3 linked regions of the Diceros bicornis minor genome follow. The protein of the gene in region 3 purifies or fractionates together with the protein of the main gene of each other region. This does not show direct contact. Links are inferred from orthologs where the notes say so. Each region holds a gene or a part of one and is shown on either strand. Other genes may lie near its edges.

Region 1 (7,306 bases), on a different chromosome or scaffold from region 3:
CAGAGAGTGTACCTTACACAAACTTAGTGGTACAGCCTACTACACACCTAGGCTATGTGGTACTAATCTCATGGGACCACCGTCATATATGTGGTCCACTGTTGACCAAAACATCGTTGTGTGGCGCATAACTGTCCACATCAGGGTTTCAAGTCAGACTTCATTTGTTACCAGGAATTTGATACTTTTAAATTTTAATAATGGCTAAGGTCCAAAATCTAGAACACACTGCCCCTCACTCAGCAGTAGTCATGCCTGCCCAGTCACAAATGAGGAGTCCCTCTCCAAGACCACAAGCTAGCAGAACCAGCTACCAGGTGGTGGGTGGGTAAGGCAAAGAATATATTTCCAGCTCCTAGGGGCCAGGCACTATGTTGGGCATTTTGACAAAAATCATCTCTCTCAGTCCCCAGAAGCCTGGAAGGGAGATGGTGCGCTTCCCATTTTGAGAAACTAGGAAAGTGAGGCTCAGTGAGGTTAGGACACATGTTCAGAGTCGTGGCAGGGACAGCACTCAAAGCAGGGCCGTGTGACTCTAGAGTCTGTTGTCTTTTCTACATATCACCCCAGAGGTGGGACGGAGAGCAGAGGGAGGGAAATCCAGACAGAGGGCAGTGGCAGCAGCCAGCGGCTTCCCCGGCCCACCCCAAACTGGTCCCCAAAGCCCCGAGTCACACAAAGGAGGCTCAGTCCCAGCAGTGCCCACAGCCCACATTTGGGCAGCCTGCCTTCCTCCCCCCTTCCTCCTGGGCCTGGCAGCAACACTGGGTCACTCAGCCCCAGGCAGGGGACAATGACCACACTGTAGGGAGCCACACATCCACCACAGCAGAGTGACTGAGAATAATCCACTAGGGAAACACCTCCACCCACTCCCTTCTTCCCCTCTGTCCAGCTCACCCCAAGGCACTGCCCAACCCTCCCTGTGACTCAGGGCAAGGAGTCAGCTTCCCGGGGTTTCCATGTGTCCCCCACCCCCAACACACAGGAATGGGCATCTGCACAGTTCATCCCACCTTCCCAGCTTCCCTGCCCCTGAGCTGAGCCTCACTTCCTCCTTCCCTGGGGAGAGGAGCTGACCTCCAGCCGGCTGAAGTTCCCAGGCCCACAGCCGGGGAGGAAGAGAGGGCGGGCTCTGGAGCAGAGATGAAGTCGAGGCTGTTGGGAAGGGGGAGGGGGCTAGAGCCTGAGCTGGGAGGAGCCCCCAAAAAGAGACAAATGAGGGCCAGTCCCAGCACCAACCAGGGAGGGAGTAGTTAAGAAAGAAGGGGATGGTAACCTGATCTCTGCCCAAAACCTGGCTTTTTCTCTCAGGCCCACATCCTGTCAAACTGGGCTGAACTCCTTTACTCCCCACACACCACCACCACCTCATCCTTGCCTCGGTCGGCCTGCCTTTTAGGAACTGAATACTCCAGCCCAAGGCAAGTTCTCTTCAACAGTGGAATCCCCGGCGGCCTCCCTCCCCTCACTCACTCACACTCATACACAGAAAACCGGGATGAGGGGTAGTGGATATGAGTCAGAGAGAATTTATAGGAGTTGAGAATACACAGCTACACTCTCCCAACCACAGAAGGGGCTCTCCCTGATCCCCCAAAACACAGGCAAGAAGGCATTCACCATGTCAGCAGATCCCCTCCAAAATGGAAACCATCCTTCCAATAGGGGATCCCTGGAAATTCTAGCCAGGTGACCAACTCCCCCCACCCACTCCCACCAGTTCCACTGGTCCAGCTCTGTGAAAACATGCTGGGATACCGCCAACCTGGGATAGGCAATGTTGGTGGAGAGTGAATAACAGTTCCTCAGGTACGAGTATGTCACTGCCCTCCCCCAGCAGGGCACTTTAGGTGGCACCAGACTGTGGGAGGCAGTGGTCAGAACTCAGGGGCAAGGGCATGCATTAAGTGACTGGGGCCCCCAGCTCAATTAGAAGGCTTTCCCTTCAGGCTCTAGTAGAGCCAGAAGAACAGCTAGCCCAGGCCAGACCAGGCCACTAGGCCCAGGGCCAAGATGGCAAGGACAACAACTCCCTGTGAGAGGCAGCCCCAGAGGAACTACCCCACTGACCCTACAAGGGGCAACCAAACCCCATACAGGGCCTGGAATGGAGCCTGGAACTGCTGGGGCCTTCCCTGAGACAAGACACTTGCCCTGTCTCTTAATCACTCTCTAGATTTCCAGATGACCCAGGGGTCCACTGCACCCTGCCCACCACTCCTGAGGTCTAGGGAAGGAGTCAGATACCTACTCTTCAACATTAAAACCAGAAGTGAGGGGAGGACATAGCCTCGAGTCCTCCAGCCCAAACCTCTAGGATTATCTTTAGCCAGACTGGGGAGTGTGATGGAGAGGGCTGGAAGGGAGGAGATTCACTCTCACACACACACACACAACACACAGGAGCTGGATCCTTCCCAGTCTCCCCAACCTCCCACCACAGGCAGGCTCCTGGAACCGCTTAGGGCGGCGTCCAGACCCCGCCGAGCGGTGGCAGCCCCCGTGGTCACACCCCGCCCCTATTCCCGCCATTCCACCAGTCTGGCCCGGGGGAATTCCCACCGACACCCGAACTCGGGCCCAGACCCACACCGCACCCAGGTCCACCTCGGGCCGCCGGGCATGGGAGCTAGAGAGTCCGGGCTGGGGCTCCATCGCGGAGACTCAAGTTGCCCCCTCGCCCCTCACCCCTCGCCCGGCGGGGCAGGTTCCGGGAAGCCGGGAGGGGAAAGGAACGAACTCCGGCTCGGACACCAGGAGGCGAGAGGCCCTGCGGGGCAGTTCCCGGGGGTCCTCTACTGCAGCCCAGGGAGGGGCCAAGCCTGCCCGACCCCGCACAGCCAAGACGCCGCATCCGAGGGGGTGGGAAGGCGACCCGCGCTCTGGCCAAAGCCCGCTCCCCAGCCGGCGCCCCGAGCTCCCGCCTAGCGGAGAAGGCGAAAGGTACTCGCCCGGGGACGAGTTCCCGGGCCGCCCGCCGCCCCCAGCCCTCAGCCCAGCGTACCTTCCGCTCGACCGCCTCCAGCTGCGCGGCCGGTGCCGGAGGCTGAGATTGACCCGAGGGCCCCGGGGCCCCGCCCCGCCCCGCCCCGCCCTCCTTCAGCGCGGCGGCGGGGAGGGGCGGGCCCGCGGGGAGGGGCGGGCCCGGGAGGAAGGCCAGGCCAGCGACGAACCTTGGCTCCGCCCGCCCACCGCCCCAGCCCAGGGCCACCGCGGGTCGCCCCGCAACTGGCTGCGGGGTCTGCGGTTTCGACCCCTGGGTAGAGAGATGCCTGGACTGTGGAGGATGGGCGGCGGGGCGGGGCGGGGCGGGTGCAACCCCCGAGGACTCTGCCTCTGCCCCGCCTTCCAGCCCCGAGGGGCGGACCGGCGTCTGGAAAGTTGAGAGGCGCTCGGGGTGGGGTCAGGAAAGGGCCGCTGCTGCCCTCCGGTGGCCAACTAGCCACCCGCGCCTACACCACCTGGGACTTCGCGGGAGGCCGGACTGGAAAACGGCGGACTCCGGGACTCCCGAGGAGAGGGCTGCAGATGCCCGCCCTCTGCTCCTAGAATCTTTGCGGAGTAAGCACAGCTCAACGTCATCCCCCAGTCTTGAAGACCTTTCAGAACCTTTGAGATCCATGCCATCGTTCTGCCTCACAGTTCTCTTCCTTCTCCCTGTCTGGAAATTCCAGGAGTCCAATTCCTACCTATCCCTCAAAAGGCCCTCTTGGAAATCCTTCCAGATCCCCAGCTGGAATTCAGTTCCTACCACCATTGTATTATTTCTGTGCCGCTAGGGACACTTAGCCCCGTCTGACTGGTCGCAGTGGGTATTTACCTACAAGTGTATCTCCTTCCCTGTGTGGTGGCTGAGGAGGTGGATGGAGGATGAGGAAGCCTACCAACATTTTATTGTCTCGTGCCGTACACTGTATAGCTCAGCCCTTTTAATACTCAACACAGATCTTTAGGTTTAGTATACCGATCCCTGTTTGCCTGTAAGGAAACTGAGGCTCAGAGAAGTTAAGTGGCTTGCCCAAAGTTTTGCGATTTGTATGTGACAGAGCAAGAATTCAGTCAGGTCGACCTGGCTCCAAAGCCGGTGTTCCCTCCCTGCTGTCCCCCATGCTCCTCCAACCTGTCCCTTCCCCACTGTCTTACACAGTGTATGGCACATACTAGCTTTTCAACAAATATTCCCTGAATGAATGTTAGAAATCATACAGACTTTAAAGATCTGAAGTGCAACCCACACATTTGATAAATGAAGAAACTGAGGTCCAGAGCAGTTTGGTCCCCAGGCCTCTTAACTTGCTCAGTGAACATTTATTGAGTGTGAACTGAGAGCTATGTGCTCAGTTCAGATCAATTTCTGCCTTCAAAGTACTTACCATCTAAATTCAGAAGACAGACAACTTAAAGATAGCTAACAGTTATCGAACCCTTTGTACATGGACCTCGCTCTTCATACATGAACTACTTTAGACGTTACAACAACCATATAAGGTAGTACTGTTATCTCCATTTTAATGAGAAGCAAATTGAGGCTCAGAGAGGTTACAGAGCTAGTGTTGAGTCTGGCACCAGAACTCAGACAGCAGGACTCTAGAGCTCTGCTCTTAGCTGCTGCTCCACACCAACTCCTCACACAGGCAGTTATAATACAGGAGGCAGTTGCTGTAGTGGGGCGTGTGGGCTGTGCAATACCCAGCCCTGGAAGACAGGTGAAGTGTTCAAGATAAGGTGGTGAGTACACTTTAAAATGAGTTGGAGCTACTACAGGCCCACAGGGTTACTGAAACCCCAGGAAGGTGGTGGTGGTGGTGGTAAAAGAGGTGGCTGGAGAAGGAAGCAGTGGCCAGATCATGAAGGTCCTTATATGCCATGCTCAAGATTTGAGTGTCGATTTTGGTCTAGGTGCAGTAACGAGCCACTGTAATGTTCTCTCAGGGGAATAACCAACTCAGACTCGCATTGTGGAAGGGTCACCCTGGCTGCTGTGTCCCTAATATATTAGGGGAAGCAGTGGGGTGGCCTGAAGACAGAGTTAGGAGATGAGTTAGGAGGCTGATGTAGTAAAGAACTACGGTAATGACAGTGGAGGTGGAGATATGTGGACAGATATTAAATGTATTTTAAAATATATAATCAACAATACTTAGTGATTGATTAGCTTGATGAGGAAAAGATGGAAGTCAAAGGTGACCAACTCCAAGATTTCTAAAGAGGCTGAGCTGATGCCCACTGAGATGATGAACCAGGAGAAGGAGCCTGTTTGAGGGGGAAATGATGAATCCAGCTCGAGGTATGTTGAACTGAAGTGCCTGTGGATGTCTAGGAGATGTTTGGGAGACGACTGGAATATGTGGGTCTAAAGCTCGGGAGAGAGCTGGGCTGGAAATACTGACTTGGGAGACACCAGCAGGTAGATGAAGCCACAGAAGTGGATGAGAATCAGAAGAGGATGAGAGTGCGTGGAGTGGGAAGAGCAGAGGGTAGAAGAAAGAACCTGGGAACACTACATTTTTAGGACTATTCTGGTGTTCTTTCCCCTACCCCAAAGAGCTTTTTCTTATCTTTTGTTTCTAGTCAAAATACATAAAGACACACACCTTTATCCATCTGGTTTATTTGCCAATAGCTATAATTTTGTATCTAACTGATACCCCTTCTTCAGTTAATTTGCCACTAAAGAAGGTCAGGGAGACAACTTCAGAATTTGGGTTGGGAGAGGGGTAAGACTGGAGAGGCTAGGATAGTGGTGGGAGGGTCAGGGCTGAGCCCCTCAGGAGTAACTGCCTGGCCCTCCCAGGGGGATGATGAAGACCGAGATGTCATCCCCGGAACCCAGCTTGTTGTTGGGAAGACGCCAGCCACGATCCCGGGGGGTGCCCCGGGCCCCCAGGACCAGAGCTTGTGCCAGAGCTGTGTACCTGCCAGGAGCACATGTGCACATTCATGTACCAACATGTATACAGGAAGATAGATGCACAGGCCCTCATGTGGGTCCCCAAACACTGCTTCCCTTGACCCTTCCTTCCCCACTGTTCTCCCCTCGCTGCCATACAACCCATACCTGCTGGGGTCATTGGGCTCATAGGCTGACAGCACCCTGTCGACAGTGGCAGCTACCTCACAGTCACTGGTGACATCCCACAGCCCATCTGTTCCCAGGACTAGCACGTCATCTGGGCAGTGCTCGTACTGCGTCAGGTCATACACTTGCACCTGGTAGGAAAGAGGATGGAGAGGGAGCCTGGGGATAAAAGGACCCGGAATGAAAGCCAGCCTGAGACCCCCAGAGGAGGGAAGGTGTGGTTCAGGGGGCCCCCATATGGCTCACCTCAGGGAAGCAGGAGAGGAAGGGCTTGATGGGCAGGGTAGAACTGCAGACCTTGAGGTTGTGGTCTCCCAAGCCCCGGGTCACCCCAATAGTGGCCATCACTCGAGCCTAAAGGAAATGAGGAGGGGGTGCTGCTACAGCCCTCTCCCTGACTCTCTGAAACCGTGGACCCCTCCCACCCCTACCCTCAGGTAGAACCTCCACCTCCCTAGACAAGTTGCAGTGGGTCCTCTTGCCCTCTCCCATCTCTACCATGGAGTTTACCTTTTTGCCCTCCCCACAGACCAGAGGAAACCTGAGATCCTCCAGCTCGATCTTTTTGTAGGCCCTGGGGAGGGGGGAGTAGAAGAGGCATCACCCAGGCATCAAAGCCCCTCTCCCCTAGGAGCCACGCCCCTCACACAGACCCCTAAGAAGGGCCCAATGCCCCAGCTCCCAGCCTGGTCCAGCCTCGAGCTTCCACCTTGCTGCTGGTAAGGGATTGGTTGCATTGCGATGGGAACAGGCCCCAGCTCTGAGGGAAGTGTTACCAGCCGGTCATGTTCTGGTCCCTGTACAGCATCTTCTGCCCCAGCTCCTTGGGCTGAACTCTGCGGGGGAACTCAAGGTGGGTGAATTCACCACCCAGGAGCTCTGGTTTCAGGAAGCCCTGGGATTGGGAGTGGCCAGAGAGAGCAGAAGGACCAGGGGCATTAGGCTGACAGCACACCCTGCTGTAGAGGTGATGTTAATTATAGCAGACCCTTAAATGGAGTGTGCTCTGTGCCATGCACTGTTCTAATATTAACATTTATTAATTTATTTAATCCTCATAACAACCCTAAGGCAGGAACTGTTGATGCAAGTTAAGGGAATTGTCAAAGGTGACACAGTCAGCAAAGTACTCGAACCCGGATTCAGTCCCCAGCAGTCCAGCTCCAGAGCCAGTGCTTTAAAACACTGAGCCGTACCGCTTCTCAGGGGCCTTCGCTGTTTCCT
Region 2 (7,388 bases), on a different chromosome or scaffold from region 3:
GGTTAGGGGGAAGGAGAAATGAGGAGTTAGTGTTTAATGTGGACAGAGTTTCAGTTTGGGTAAGTTCTGGAGATGGATGGTGGTGACACTTGCACAACAATGTGAATGTACTTAGTGCCACTGAACTGTACAGTTAAAAATAGTTAAGATGGCAAATTGAATGTTACGTATATTTTACTACAATAAAAAAAGGAAACCAGAAAAAGAAAAGAAATTACAGTTCATCATGAGAAATGAGAGAGAAAAGTACTGACTGGAAACTGGTTTATTAACTCTTTTCTTCTAAGTGATACGCTAAAATCTGAACTCTGCATCTTTTCGTGAAATAAAGAAAACCACACCAGGAAATGGTAATCTCTTGACCACTGCTCTGCATAACTGCTCAGGGCTGTGCCCCAAGTAAGCGGCTGTATTTAGGTCAGTTTTATATCATAGGGATTGTAAAGCCCGGATGTCACGGACCGATTGCAAGTTCGAAACTAAAAGAATTTTGTGTAGGAAAAAAAATTTTCTGCATCACGAATGAATCATCTTGATGAAATAATTTAGGCAAAAACTATACTAGCTTCTCAATCTTTTAGTATATTAACATAGTAATTTACTTACTTAAACAACAAAATAAGACTTTATTAATAAAGAACTCATTTTAGAGAATCTAACATTTAACGGTAGAAAAGCACATACAGCATCCACTACAGAACCAATCTGTTTCAAAAACTATTCCATATGTATCTTTTATTGCAATTTTTAATGAACCCAGACATTTTCTCCACCGTGATTCAAAACTCGATTAAAATTTAAACCCTCCTCCCCAGTATCTGGTCACCAGTTTACCTGCGTTAAAGCAGGCAGAATATATACTACTTCCTAAGAAACGCCCGTCACAAAGAACCTGCCTCGGTCCCATAACTTAAGCGAAAGCCTAACACCCCAGGCCTGGCTAGCCAACTCGCAGAGAACGCAACAAAATCAGATTCCGGGGCACAGAGGTGCGGGCACGGCAGCCCTGACATCAGCTGATGTTTATGACATTTACCAGGAGTGCAAGACCAGAGAGGGCCCAGGGAGCCTCCTTATCAAACTCCGGGGCTGCCTGCCCTCATCTGCAATTCAAGTCCATTACTAAACTCTTTCAGATAGGAATCCTGCTGCCACCAGCAAATTCCGGGCGAACAGAGCACAGCTCCACAGGCTGCGCCGGCGTGCAATGCACTGGAACGGGGCTGCCCGCCAGAAAGACAGCGTCTCCTCTGCCAGATGCCCTTGGGGGCGCCAAAAGAAGATTTGGGGTGCATCTGGCTCCGGACTCGGAGGGACTCGGAGTTGGTGTGCGCCGTCGGACGTCACTCAACTCTCCTGCGATTTAGACAACTTTTCTTTCTAAGCAACTTCCAAGTTGCATTAGAATACACTTTGAAACAGACTGAAGCGGTGTAAAAGGGGATTCTAACTTGTATAAAAGACCGTAACTCCTGGGGGGCGGAGCTCGCAAACAAAAAGACTGTAGAGAAAAGCATCAAAATCGTGTTTTCTTCAGGAGGTCCCTAAAAGGACCAACACACAACAAAGAGGAGAGACAATTCCCTACTCCTGCCCTCTTATCCGTTTAAAAAACCCTGCCCCAACACCTCGCCCAGGTGCCTCCAATTGAAAATACAGCTCGAAGCCTCCGCCCCAGCCCAGAAACTGGGTTACTTACTGGTTTCGGCATTTTCGGTTCCTGATGGGTTTTCCTCAATCCCCTGGAAACACTACTCTCGAGCAGCAGCTGAGACGGTTCTCCCGACCTGGAGGCAGAGGGAAGCCCTTTAGAGCGCGCAGCAGCCCTCCTCCCGCGCCCGCCGCCGCGCCCCGAGACTCGCCGCCCGCCCCGCGCCGCTGCTTAAGAACCCGCCGGGCGGGCGCCGGGATGAGTCACCGCCCAACCTGCAATTACCGCAGGCCGGGCGGGCGGGCCCTGCGGGGAGGGGGCGGGGGCGGGGGCCCGGGGGGGGAGGGGGGGAGGGGGAGGGGGCGGCGGGGAGAGACCCGGTGAGGAGGGGGCTGGACCTGGCCAGCACGGGGCTCGGGGTCCCGGGGGGAGGGACCCAGCCGGAGGGGGCGCGGGGTCCCGGGGTCCCGGGGGGAGGGGGCCGGCCGGAGGGGGCCCGGGAACCCGGGGGGATGGACCCAGCCGGAGGGGACCTGGGGGGAGGGAGCCGGTGGGGAGGGTTGCGCGCGCGCGCGCGCATAGGGATGTAGGGCCCGGGCGGGGGGCCTCGGCGCCAGGAAGGGGGCTTGGCGGGGAGGGTGCCGGGGCGGGCGGCGCGGATCCCGGCGGGGAGGGGTCGGGGGACCCGGGCGCCGGGGCGGGGGCCGGCTCCCGGACTGGGAAGCGGCGGGGCGGGGGTCCCCAGAGGTACTTCTCGGGGCTTCCCGGAAGCCAGCGGGGAGCCCAGCAAACAGCAAGTTTCACTTTGTGAAGCAACCGTTTGCCCCAGGGCTGAAACCGCAACCGTCAAGCCTTTGAGAAACACTTGAAGAAAACCGGCCCCGCCCGGGAAGGGCCGAGGACCGCGGGGCCAAGCGAAGCACGAGGGCGCGGGCAGGGGCGCGGCCACGCAGCCCAGGCTCCGCTGGCACTTTGGAAGGGGGACTCCAGGGCACAGAGTGGAAAGAGGAAGGTCGCGGAGCAGCGGGGGCGGCCACACCAGCAGGTTCAGCTTCACCTGCTGTTTCTTTGGGCCGAACGGGAGAGCCATGCCCGGAGGGCCAGGCGAGGACCCCACCGGCCCGAGACCCCGAACGCGGCCGGCGGAGGGGCGAGCCCGATTCCCCTCGGGGACCGCCGGCCCGGGGCTTGCGCGCGGGCCGCCCCTCCGCCAGACCGGCCCCGCCACACCTGTCGTCGAGTCCCGGCCACTGTCCCCTCTGCGGGGCGCGCCCCCCCAACCCCGGCCCGACCCCTCCGCCCGCCAACCCCGGCCACGCGCCGGGCTCACCGGCGGCGCCTGCAGAGGACGGCTGCTCTCCCGCTGTCGGCGTGTCCGCGCAGTGCGCCCGCGGCCCGCGCTCCCAAGAGTCCCCGGCGGGGCGGGGTCCCGGGGCCGCGCCCCTAACCGCCCCGCCCGACCTGCGAGGTGCGCCCGGCGCGCAAAATGGCTGCGGCCGCTGGCCGCCCAGGGGCTCTCCCGCCTCCCACCCGCCCCGCCGGGCGCCCCCCGCCCCGCCCAGGAGGGCGCCCCTGAGGGCCTTGGAGACCCGGGCGGGGGCGTCCTCCGCCTCCCTCCCGCCCCGCCGTCTCTCTCCATCGTGAAGACCCTTCCCTCTTCTCTGCCTGTTCCCTTGCCCTTGGAGAAAAACTTTGCCGAATTTGGTTCAACTCCTGATTGCAGATGTAAGACGTCAGATTATTTGCCCCACAGTGGACAGAGAGAAAGCAAGAAAATGTAAATAAACCTGGAGGAGCAGGCGGCCAGAGGGGAGATGCTGGGCCATTTTGGGGTGGGGCTGCTCCCCGTGGTCAGGTCATTTGCTTGTCCTTGCGCCGCGACCGGGGCGGGTTCTGAGAACCCCGGGCCTGGGGCGGCCGTACCTGGCCTCTGCGTCTCGGCGCACGTGGCCGGCCGGCCTCCGCGTTCGGATTGGGTCGAGAAGGACACAAGCCTAGAAGACGCTCCATCGCCGAACGCTCTGGTTAAAGGACACAGCTGTGGCCTCCTTTGACTTGACTAGCACAAAGCTATAGCAGAAATCGCCATAGGGAGAAATTCTAGGAATTGTTTTTAATATTTTTTGCAAATGGATCTCAAGAGGAATTTTAAAAAACACACAAAACACATGGACTTTGGTGGCCAGGCGCATTTGTGGCGCAGTGATTCGGTGAGCCAGCTCCAGAGCGGTGGTTCTCTAAGCGTGCTTCGCACACTAGCATCGTGAGCATCACCTGAGAACTGGCGGAAATGGAAATTCAAGGGGACCGCCCCAAACCTAGGGCTCAGAATCTGTAGGGCTGGGGCCCAGCAGTCTATCTTCAAGCCCTCCAGGGGATTGTGATGTAGGCTAAGGGTTGAGACCAGAGCTTCTCCGGAATTCCTTTCCTGGGCTGGCCACTAACTCCCCATGTGAGTTGAGCGCGTTATTAACTCCTTTGTGCTTTCGTTTTCACATCTGTAAAATGGCATAATTATGGCACCTATTTCCTAGGGTTGTTATGAGGATTAGAGGAATTAATGCATGTGAGATGCCTAGAGCAGAGCCTGGCACACAGTAAGCACTTGAATCTCTCCTGGTACAGACAGTAACCAGTGACTTTGGGCAAAGACCCAAACTCTCCAAGACTCACCTTCCCAATTCGTAGACTGGAGATACTAGTAGCCCCCCGACATGGACTTGTATGGATTAAGTGAGATAATGTGTGCAAAGTGCTTAGCAGAATGTGGGCCTCCCACTAATGCCTAACCTGTCACGGGGGCAGACTGCTTCTGGGGTACCCCTTGTCAGCTTGTACCTGTCACCCTCTCCCAGCTGCAGGACCAGGGCATTTTAGAGGTCCAGGTGAAGAGGGAGGCCTTTTCTGAGATTTTGTCCTGTATTCCAACAGCAAGTCTGTTCCCTCTGAAAGACTTTCTTTTCTATTAAAATGAAGATGTAAAGTTAACTGCAGGAGGAAGGAAACTATGAAAGATATTTAAATAACCTGCAGTGATAATGGTTCAGACTGGACATGTTACCCCAGCCTGCTCTATCTCCGCCTCTTATCACTGCCTGGAGACTTGTTAGTCATTTCTGGTCCCCAACTCTGCTGATAGGATGTGCCTCTAACATAATTGTTTATCTCACCCACTTTACGGTATATTGTCTTCTAAATTGGGTGTTTTGAAATAGCAGTGGCCCAAGACCTGGAGCATTTGTGAACTTTACCCTTCAGGGGAATGGTGAAAAGGAATTGGCCTGCGGCAGTGTGGTAAAATGAAAAGACCACAAGTTTCAGAAACGAACAGAGCTGAGTCTGAATTCTGGTTCCAGCATCTACAAGCCCCTCACTTTGGGCCAGTCTCTTCATCTGAGCTCCTGCCTCTTCAGCCGTAGACTGGAGATAATAATGTATGGAGTTCTTGTGTCACTGAGTCATATAATGGGAGCGTTTAACTTACTCAAATTTGATTTATAGGTATACTTTTGTTGTTTAAGTTAAAATAGCATAAAGTCATAAGCCTTCCCCATTTGCTTTACATTACTGTAAGCCTTATGCATTATATTTACATGTTACTGTACAGGGTTCCCCAACCCAAAAATAAAACCTTTGTACTGTATCTTAGGAGTGTTTTCAGGGCATTTTCCAAGGGTAATTTATTTTCACCTGACTTGAGAACCTAAACTTCTCCCCAGCCCTCCCCACCCCCAGCACACACACAGAAGACTGAACTCCAAGGAACCTATGAGAATTGCTTAGGACAGTGGTACTGAAGCCTTGGTGTGCATTAGACTCACTCATGGAGCCCGCTCTAGGAATCATGGGTCCTTAAGTCTCAGGTTAACCCTGGGATCTGCGTCTTTAACAAATCCCCAGGTGAGTCTGACTTACACCAAAATCTGAGAACCACTGACTTAGGGTGTGGCAGGATCCTGACAAATATGACTTAATTTGCCTCTCCCTTCACTTCTTATGTGTGAAGTTATTCCCCTGCAGGGTTTCAGTTTTTCAGCTAGAGGAGGGAAATTGTATGTCTGCCATGAGCCTGGCAAAGGCTGTTGGGAAATTGCTTGAAGTTTTTCAGGCAAGGGTACACTAAAGTGAGGCAGCCCTCACAGTCCCTTTAGATACGGCGGCAAGGACCAGAGCTGTCGCACAGAACATCCGCTTCCTATCAGATCAGCTGGAGCCTGTCTCCACGCTGGTGCCAGGTTAATCTCAACCAATAAATAAAAGTTCACAAAGAGTATGACAAGCTCTAGCCTCAGTCACTTCAAAAGTACAGTCAGTAGGCAATAGGGAAAAATATAGAACACTCTCGGCAAAACAAGAATTTGGGTTATTTTTCAGGACTCACTAACTTTGGGTGGAAATTCAGGACAGTGACTATCTGGAGGACGGGGAGAATGATGCCTCCATGGGGGCCTCGTCAGCGGTAGTAATGTTTTATTAAGCTGAGTGGTGGCCCACGGTGCCCTTTATAGCATCCTTTGTACGTTTTTGTGGGTCTGAAATATTTTATAATACGTATTTTAGAGGTAACACTGGGTAAGCTTTTCACTGGCAGAGATGATTGTTAAAGAGAACTAAGCATTTAGTGTAATCTTATAAAGTTCCATGAACTCAATCTGGAAATCTCTGGTATGATTTAACATTCCTTTCTGACCTCTGGGGGGGTGACCAGTCCCTGCAGTGTGGGTGACAGAGCACGGGAATGAATAAGGACTCGCACAGCCTGACCGGCAGCCACTCTGTCTTGTGTCCAGAATTAACTTTTAAGGGTCTTCACAGGACGATAAGGTAGAAAAGCATTCTGATACTATTTTGATGGTACATCTTATATACCTTTGGTCCTCTGAGAAGAATTCCGGCCACTAGGTGTTCTATTTTCATTGTTTCCTTGGCTTATCTAATAATTTGTATAAATAGCCGTAATAGTTTTTGTGTAAAAGAGTACTAATGACCGCAGAACTTGTTTGATTAATAAACTCCCAAATAGCATAGCTTCTTTTATTAGAATTTTTCTTATCCCTAATCGTTTTAGGAGTTTTTTTGAAAATTTTTTTGCCGGCTTAAAAGCATGTGGTATGATGAAGTAGAGGATGGGGCCTTAAACATCATCTTTTCCCATACCCTCCTTTTGCAGAGGAAACAGCTCCACAGAGATTAAATTAGTTGTCGGCACCCCTGCACCCAGACTTCTCTTGTCAAGATAGTGGAGACTTCCATCTTGCTAAATCCGGAAGCTGACCTTCTCTGCCTCATCTTACCCTTCTCCTAAGCAGCCTTGGACACATGTAACACTCCCTGGGAACATTCTGTTCTTAGAGTTTCTGTTTTCTCCCCTCTCCCCCAATCCTGCTTCCTCCTCCGAGGCTAGCTCTCCTCCCCCAACCCTCACTGCAGGCTTAGCTCAGAGCTCATTCCTGGGTGCTTATCTGTGTACACTCTCTTCCTAGGTCATCTCATCCAATCCCAAGTCTTAAATAACATCTCCAGCCGTGACCTCTCTTGAGCAACAAGTGCATACATGTTGTCTCCAGGATTCTTGATGTTTCGAAAACTGCTCCCCTCCCAGCCTTCCCCTTCTCAGAAAACAGAACCACCATTCACCCTGTTGCTTGGCCCCAAACCTAGAAGTCAACCTGAATTCCCCTCTTTCCCTTGACCGCACTCCATCCTCCAACCCTTGTGCGTCCAATCCAGCAGACCT
Region 3 (7,610 bases):
GTGGCCAAGGGCCCTGTCAGCACTTTGGTATGGGGTCAGGAAGGGGGTGTGGGGTGGTAGGGGTGGGGTGCGTACGTCCGTCCGTCTGTCCATCCTGCCTGCCTCCCGGACCCAGGACTCAGTCCTTCCACTCTTTTTTAATGGTGAGGTTCCACTCCCAGGACAGGTGATCAGTCTTGTCATCATCTGTGAAACGCGACTTGATGTTGTAGCTGCCTCGAGCCAGCATGCCCTTGGGCGCCTCCTCCATGGGAGTCAGGAACTCGTACTCCTCTGCCCGGGGCCCGTAGCTCCCCACCATGTAGTCAGTCTTGTCAACTGTAATGCAGAGAATGCACTGGTCATCAGTGTGGCTCACCTCTGCCCGGGCAGCTGCCAGGGAGCAGAGCTGGGCCGAGGGCACACACTGCCTTTCCTGTCTCCCTCCTGGTCCCTAAGCCCTTTGCCCTGAGCCAGCCAAGAGGCAGCCATCTCTCTCTTAGAGGCTGGGGTCTGGTGCCCACCCTCACTCACTCTTGACGCCTTTCCTGTATGTGTGCTGGATGTACTTCATGCCGGACACAATTTCTCGGTTCACCTGCAGGGAGGGACCCCAGGCAAGGCTCAGCCGGGCTCTCCAGCCCTGGCCCCTCCCGGCCCCTGCCACAGCCTCTGCCTTACCCGGAAAGAGATTTTTATCCGGTATTCCACACCTTCCTTCAGCACAAATGACTGCTTCTTGAAGCTCTCCAGATCACCTGTATTTGGGAGGAACACCACACTAGGGGGCTCAGCCAGCAGAAGCCACTCACTTCGGCATCTCCCATCTGTGACTGCCCGCTGCCATCTGGGCCCTGGCGGGATGCCCCTTCTACTCCCCGTCTCCCCTGCCCCTGCACACATAGCCCTTGGCACCCCCAACCTAGGACCCAGATCACTCCAAAACCAGCAACTTCAAAGACCGCTTGGCTGCACTTCTTGTTCTCCCCACGAGAGGGTGGCAGAGCTCCAGGAAACTATATTTAGAGAAAGCAGGGGTGGGGGTGCCAGGCAGCCCCAGCCAGAGACCTCAAAGGTGCCACTCACCTGTCAGGTCAAGCTCCAGGGGGCCCGGGGCGGTGCTACACACCAGGGTCAGGCGGGTCACGACTACATTGGGGACGTTGGGGTCTGTGGAGTGACAGCAGGTTAGTGCTCCACCCCCTGGGCCTCCCACACACCCATAACTTGCCACCAGGGGGCAGCAGCAGCAGAAACCCAGAAGAGTGACAAGGTATCCCTCTGTGTGACCCCAACCCACTCACCAGCAGACACAGCCACACGGCCCAGCAGGGCCTCCTTGTACTTGCGCAGACTCTCATCGTCCTTGTCCAGCTCCTGAATCTCCTGGATGCTCTTCTGGGCCGGGGGCTTGTAGTTGACCGAGTGCTCGTCTTCCTCGTTCTCAGCTGCAATCTGTGCCAGCTGCTCTGCTGTGGGCTCCTGCTCGGCCATGCTCACCTCTCGCTGGGTCTGGGACACCTGTGGGCCAGGCGGGCTGTGGCAGCCTGGAGGGACCCACAATGTCTCCCCCCTCCCGCCCCTCAGCGGGCCCTGCAGCCAGCTCAGGCGGGCTGTGTCGAAGGCTGCTCCACAGGTGGCCAGGCCCCGTATCTCGGCCCAAAGAGAGGTGCACCTTCTAGAGCAGGAGGGCAGCCTGCAGCCAGAACCCAGACATAGGCTCCTGAACCCAGCGGGGCTATACTTGCCTCCTCGCCCTGCCCATCTCAGGGGACCCACTGGGGCAGTCTGAGAGGACCCCAGCCTAGGTACAGTACCCAGGACTAAATGGAACCCGCAGCCTGCTCCTCTGGGAGACCAGGCACACCTCTGCCGCCCCCAAGGAGGAGGCAGGACCCCAGCCCTGCCGGCAGACCCCCAACTGTCACCTCTGAAGTCCTGCTGCTCTTTCTGAGCTGCTCAGGCCCTCGCCCCACGGGACTCCTCCCACTGGGTCAGGGAGACCCGGCTCCCTAGGACCAGGCATGCTCCTTCTGCCCTGTCCTAGCCAGGAAGCAAGGCCTCTGTGCAGGACACAGGTCAGTTCTGCCTCATCCTGCAAACACAGGGCTCTCCTACAGCTCAGATGATGAGGCCAGCCTGACTCCCACATGTAGGTCCCAAAAGGGCACAGGGGATCCTAAGAGTCTGCCAACGTTCTCTCCAATCGTGAGAGTCTGTGACCTACAATTTGGGAACTGCTGCAGCAGCTCCAGTATTTTCAAGACCCTTTTTCTGGATCCTGGCCCAGGCGAGTCTGGAGCAGCACTCTCAGAGCGGGGAGCACTGCATGAGGCAGCCGCTGGGCTTCCTTCAGCTAAAAATCCCATTGCAAGCCCAGAGACTTCCTGAGGAGTGTCTGGAACCCACTCAGATAGGTCCGGGTGGTGTAGGAGATGGGTCAAGGCCCAGCCCACCCCAGGCCTCAGATTGCCCAGGAAAGATTACCAAAGCCTTTCCCCACAGGCCCAGGCTGGCAGCTGGGACTCGCCCGAGGACCAGATCTCACAAAGGGCCGCAGGGATCCCCGAGCCGCCGGCCGCCCCAGGCGGGGTGGGGCCTGCCCGCTTTCCCAGGCCTCCCTGCCGCTTCCTCTGGAATTCCTCTACAAGGCTCACGCCCTAATGTCACTAAGTGCGGCCGCAGGCGACAGGATCCTCTAGGGCGATCGCCGCGGCCGCACTTCCGCAGGGCCCCGCAATCTGGGCCGGGCGCGGCGCGGGGTGGGGCGCGGTGCCCCGGAGAAGGGGACGTCAGCCTAGCTCCGGTCGGCGCACGCCGGCGGGGAGGGGCCGCGGGGTACGGGCGGCGGCCACAAAGGAGGCCTAAGCCCCCGGTCCGCGCCCCTGGCCCGCGCCGCACGTGGGCCCGCCCTGCGGCCCGGCCTCCGCCGGCTGTCACCGCCGCCCCAGCCCCGCGCAGACCCCACGGCAGGCGGAGCGAACAAAGGCGCGGCCCCCGCGCCTCCCTGCCGCTGCCGCTGCCGCCGCCCCGCCTGCCGCCGCCGTCCCGCCGTGGCGCTCACCGGAGGTTCGACTGCGCAGCTCTCGCGCTCCCTCCCGCACGGAACGACGAACGTCGCCGCCCCGCCCGCGCGCTCCCGGCCGGCCACTTCCGGGGTCACGCGACTTCCGCTCGCGCCACACGCCAGGGCGCATGCGCGGGCGCGCGGGTCTGCCGGGAGCGTGCCGGTGCCATCTTGCCGGGCTGGTGTGGTGGGTGCGTCCCGTGTGGGCGGCGGGCGGGCTCGGGACGCCTAGGAAGTCCGGTCCCAGTTGGTAGTTTTGCGCCTTTTGCTGCAAGCATTTTCCGGTCCCGGCCGTCCCCACGGGTCAGCCCGCAAAGTAGAGGGACGGGCGGTGTCACGGTCTTGCTCACGCCCCACGTACGTCGTGGCATTTCCGCGAGGTGCTGTAAGGCACGTCTGTAAAGCTCTGGAACATCTCCGCGTGCACGGCAGGGTCCACCCGAGGCCAGCCGACGGCCGCCCTCCCACCTGAGCCGGCCTCTCGCGTCCTCTCGCCATCGTGACCCTCTCGGAAGTTAACGCTGGACCTTCTTCGATCAGCTCACGTTAACCACTCAAAGAACGCTCCGTGGGTGGTGTTAAAAAACAATTCCAACCGAGAAAATTTGAAGATCTAATTGGCTTTATTCAAGGATTTATGGATCAGGCAGCATCCCATTTAATAAACAGGCCTTCCGAAGGGTTGTACAAAAGAAGATTTTTATAGGAAGAAACTAGGTGGGACAAGAAAGTAATTAGCAAAAGGAAAGAAAAGATGCTTTCAGGCAAGATCACCTTTCTTTGGGGGAAGGGCGGCAGGGGTCTTAGCAGGCAGATGACCTCACTATTGTTGATCAGGAATTTCCCGACTGGTAAGGTTACATTCCTGGGAGGGGGTGAAACTGCAATTAAGTCTTGGTTTCCGGTCCTGGGGGCAAGTGACTCCACCTTGGGCCTGTAGTTTTTTTATTTTTTACCGGTGTCCAGGTCACCCCTGGCCTGAGCCTGGGCTCTGGGGCCTCTCTTGGTATCTTTGTAACCTGTCCAAGGCTATGCTGGTGGCCCTCTGCCCCACTGTCCCCTCCTGAAGAACACGGCTGGATGGCCAGAAGCATACACAGGCTCAGAGCTGCCCCAGGCCTGCAGCCCTCAGGCTTTTTTTTTCCAGACTAAATCAACATTCTTGGGGGCTCAGCACATTTGGTTTCCTTGCCATGAGCATCACTTCAGGGAAAAAACATGTCACTGCGGAATTCCTTGACTCTTGTGACTTTGGAAGCTCTTGGCACAGATGACATGATTTTCTCAGTCTGCTATTCATCACAGACCCAAGAATTCTCCGTTTGTGTGCTCCAATTGTTGGCAGACTTCAGACATTTGCCCACATGCTAAATCAAGGAACATTTTGTAGCACCAGGAGGGGCCTCATAAAATGGGGCTGGTCTGGCCCGGGGCTGGTCTGCCTGAAGGCCGGAGTGCCCAAACCCCAGCCCAGCACTCCTCTTTCTTCTTGTGGGGTCCAAGCCCCTAACGGCTCCACACCTCCAGCCTGTAGCATTTGTAGAATTGTAATAAGGTGGTAATGAGTTCATGCCACCTATAATGACTGTTAAGCTCCACAAAGGCAGGGAACCCAGGCCAAGACAGAAGTTGTCACAAACACACATATACACACAACTGCATTGTACGTAGGAGGGCATTTTCAGAAATTGAACTTAATGCAAAATACTGACTTTGGTATCTTCTGGAAATTTCTCAATTTTTGAGGAATATTTGCTTATTTTCTGTAACTAGGAGTTGCACTGTCAGCTTTATGTGTACAAAGTTTAGTTGGCGGAAAGCAGAGCATTCTAATTGGGTATTCACTATGTTGCTTCTGAGGCTTCTTGTCATTGTAAACTTGGAATACCACAGCGGACTGTCCCCCTGCACTGCTGTCTGAGTCGCTGGTTGAGGAAAAGTTGGCTTTCGGATAACCCAAGTGCTTTTAAAAAAACCAAACTCTATTATAGAAAATTTCAAACATACATGTTATTAGTAATCTATTACTGTGTAAAAATGTACCCTGAAATTCAGCAGCTTAAAACAACAACCGTTTATTATTTTGCATGGTTTCTGAGGATCAGGGAGCAGCTTAGCGGGTTGGTTCTGGCTCCAGGTCTCTCATGAGGTTGTGGTCCCTGAAGATGTGCTGGAACTCCAAGCTAATGCAGGCACTGTGGGCAGGAGGCTCAGTTCCTTGTGGGCTGTTGGCTGGAGGATTTAGTTCTCTGCCACCTACGGCTCTGGCCACTCCGTAGGGCTGCTCACAACAGGGCAGCTGGCTTTCCCCATGTGAGGCCTCAGAGACAGACAAACAGACAGACAGACAGAGACAGAAAGAACAAGAGCCAGGGAAACAGCAAGCACTGAAGATGAAGCCAAGGTGTCTTACAATCTAACCTTAGCAGTGCCCTAGCTCCGCCCTACTAGATTGGTCACACAAACCTCTCCTGGCACCGGGTGAGAGGGGACACAGGGGCCTGAGGACCAGGAGGCAGCGGCACCGTTGGGGTTGTCTTGAAGGCGGCCCACCACATGCACCAAAATACTGTAGAAAGAATGGTATTATGAACCCAAGTGGACAGACCATCCAGCCTCAACGGGTATCAGCTCGTGACTGATCTTGTTTCATCTGTGCCTCACCTCCCCCCACGCAGCAAGTTTGAAGCAACCCCCAGAAGTCATTTCCACCATAAATATTTCAGTATGTATTTATTTCTAAGGAAAAGGATCCTTTTTTAGGGTGAACAATAGCCATAGCACCATTATCCCGCTGGGTCCTTGTCTCTACTGCTATATAACAAACCACTCCAAATGCGGTGGCTTGGAGCAGCGAGTCACGATTCTCTCTCCTATTCTGGGGGCTGCGTGAACTCAGCTGGGGCTCTCATGCAGTGTCGGTCAGATTGAGTCGTGCTGCAGCCAAATGAAGGTGGCCGGCCAAGAGGGCCCTGTCATACAGCACTCCCCTGGGGCTGTCAACTTGAGGACCTCCAGCACAACGCCCATGGGATCTTGGCAGCTGGACTCCAAGAGCAAGTTCTGAGAGGCTTGTTCACCGGGCTTCATGTGAGCCCACTCAGAAGTGCCAGAACCAAACTTGTGTGGCTCTCTGCTGGCCAAGCCCATGAGTTGGGCCAGCCCAAGTTCAAAGTCAGAGAGTTAGACTCCACCTTTCAGTGGGAAGAGAAGGAAAGACTGTGTGGCCATCTTTATTCTAGCCACAAGGACCCACGTTCCTCTCCTGTAAAACACAACACTTCCCAGGATCCCCCAAAGTCTCATCCCGTTGTGGCTTCAGCTCAGGACCCAGGTGAGGGCGAGGTTGGGGGTCTGGCTTCTCTTAACCTGAAAATTGAGGCTAAAGACCCAGAAGACCTGCCCAACAGTGCCCGACAGACCATCCTGTCTCACCCCCTGACCTACAGAATCCGTGAACGTAACAAAATGGTGCTTGTTTTACACCAAGTTTGGGAGGTAATTCTTATAGAGCAGAAAGTACCTGGGATACTAACCAAGAAAAGTAACACAAGTCCTAAATATCAGTAAAGATCCAACCAGTATTTTCCTGATTTTATTGTGAGTTCTTTTACTTTTTGTTTGAATCAGAATCAAATTGTTTCACACATTGCAGTTAGTTGGTATGTGTCTTAATCAATAGGATTGTCCTCTCTTTGCTCCATGTAGTGTCCTGTTGAAGGACCGGGGTCACTTGTCCTGTAGAGTCTCCCACGGCAGGAACTCGATTGGCAATGCCGCACCCCAGCACCCCAGCTTTGACACTGAGACGGGGTACCTGAGGGCTACTGTAAATACTCCATAAGAACATGGTTACCCTCTGACCTTGTTCCCAACACAGACACAGAAGAAAAGAAGTGAATAAATAACCTCAATCTCTGTTAGATGTATTTGTTGAGCTCAAATGCTTGCTTCACAGCCCAGGCATCATTGTATCTTGTTAATTTGCTGTTTTCTTTCTTTCTTTTTTTAAAAAATATTTATTTGTTTATTTATTTAGTGTGTGTGTGTGAGGCAGATCAGCCATGAGCTAACATCTGTTGCCAATCCTCCTCTTTTTGCTGAGGAAGACTGGCCCTGAGCTAACATCTGTGCCCATGGTCCTCCACTTTATATGGGATGCCACCACAGCATGGCCTGACAAGCCGTGTGTCGGTGTGCGCCCGGGATCCAAACCCGGGCCGCCAGCAGCAGAGTGCACACACTTAACCGCTATGCCACGGGGTCGGCCCCTAATTTGCTGTTTTCTTATTTAACCAGAGGGGTGACTCAGTGGTCACAAGGATTTATGAGCTTGTCTTACCGAGGAAAAAGAATGCCTGTAAGGAAGTTACGACCAGCAGATAACTAGCCCCCAGCTGCCACTGATGCCAAGAAGTCTAGTTGCGCAAGGTCTTATCTGAAGTGAAAGAAACACAGATTTCCCCTTTGTTTCCCTGAAACTCCTTCTCCCAAGCCCCTTAGCCCTATAAAGGCCCCCTGCTTCCTTCTTTTGTTAAGGCAGATCTGACAGAACCTATTCTCT

What was found. Proteins that work in one complex are often made in the same cells at the same time.
Region 1: the proteins of ARHGDIA (region 3) and RHOC purify together in Homo sapiens (affinity purification with mass spectrometry; 4 studies listed by BioGRID and IntAct, with this or other methods). This does not show direct contact. The link is inferred for Diceros bicornis minor from reciprocal best matches to the Homo sapiens genes ARHGDIA and RHOC.
Region 2: the proteins of ARHGDIA (region 3) and EZR purify together in Homo sapiens (co-purification; 3 studies listed by BioGRID and IntAct, with this or other methods). This does not show direct contact. The link is inferred for Diceros bicornis minor from reciprocal best matches to the Homo sapiens genes ARHGDIA and EZR.

What each region holds. Positions count from the first base shown.
Region 1 is NC_080743.1:45,467,383-45,474,688, forward strand, and holds the start of RHOC (rho-related GTP-binding protein RhoC), read right to left. Parts: upstream 3,079-7,306; 5' UTR 3,008-3,078; intron 1-3,007. Other genes in the region: PPM1J (protein phosphatase 1J), read right to left, coding at 5,771-5,918, 6,062-6,213, 6,329-6,436, 6,593-6,656, 6,859-6,977. UniProt on the Homo sapiens protein: Regulates a signal transduction pathway linking plasma membrane receptors to the assembly of focal adhesions and actin stress fibers.
Region 2 is NC_080778.1:10,869,686-10,877,073, reverse strand, and holds the start of EZR (ezrin), read right to left. Parts: upstream 3,079-7,388; 5' UTR 2,982-3,078; intron 1,788-2,981; 5' UTR 1,712-1,787; coding exon 1,700-1,711; intron 1-1,699. UniProt on the Homo sapiens protein: Probably involved in connections of major cytoskeletal structures to the plasma membrane. In epithelial cells, required for the formation of microvilli and membrane ruffles on the apical pole. Along with PLEKHG6, required for normal macropinocytosis.
Region 3 is NC_080757.1:61,197,475-61,205,084, forward strand, and holds the start of ARHGDIA (rho GDP-dissociation inhibitor 1), read right to left. Parts: upstream 3,143-7,610; 5' UTR 3,044-3,142; intron 2,704-3,043; exon of another isoform or gene 2,467-2,703; intron 1,501-2,466; 5' UTR 1,474-1,500; coding exon 1,284-1,473; intron 1,150-1,283; coding exon 1,066-1,149; intron 738-1,065; coding exon 661-737; intron 578-660; coding exon 514-577; intron 319-513; coding exon 119-318; 3' UTR 76-118; exon of another isoform or gene 1-75. UniProt on the Homo sapiens protein: Controls Rho proteins homeostasis. Regulates the GDP/GTP exchange reaction of the Rho proteins by inhibiting the dissociation of GDP from them, and the subsequent binding of GTP to them.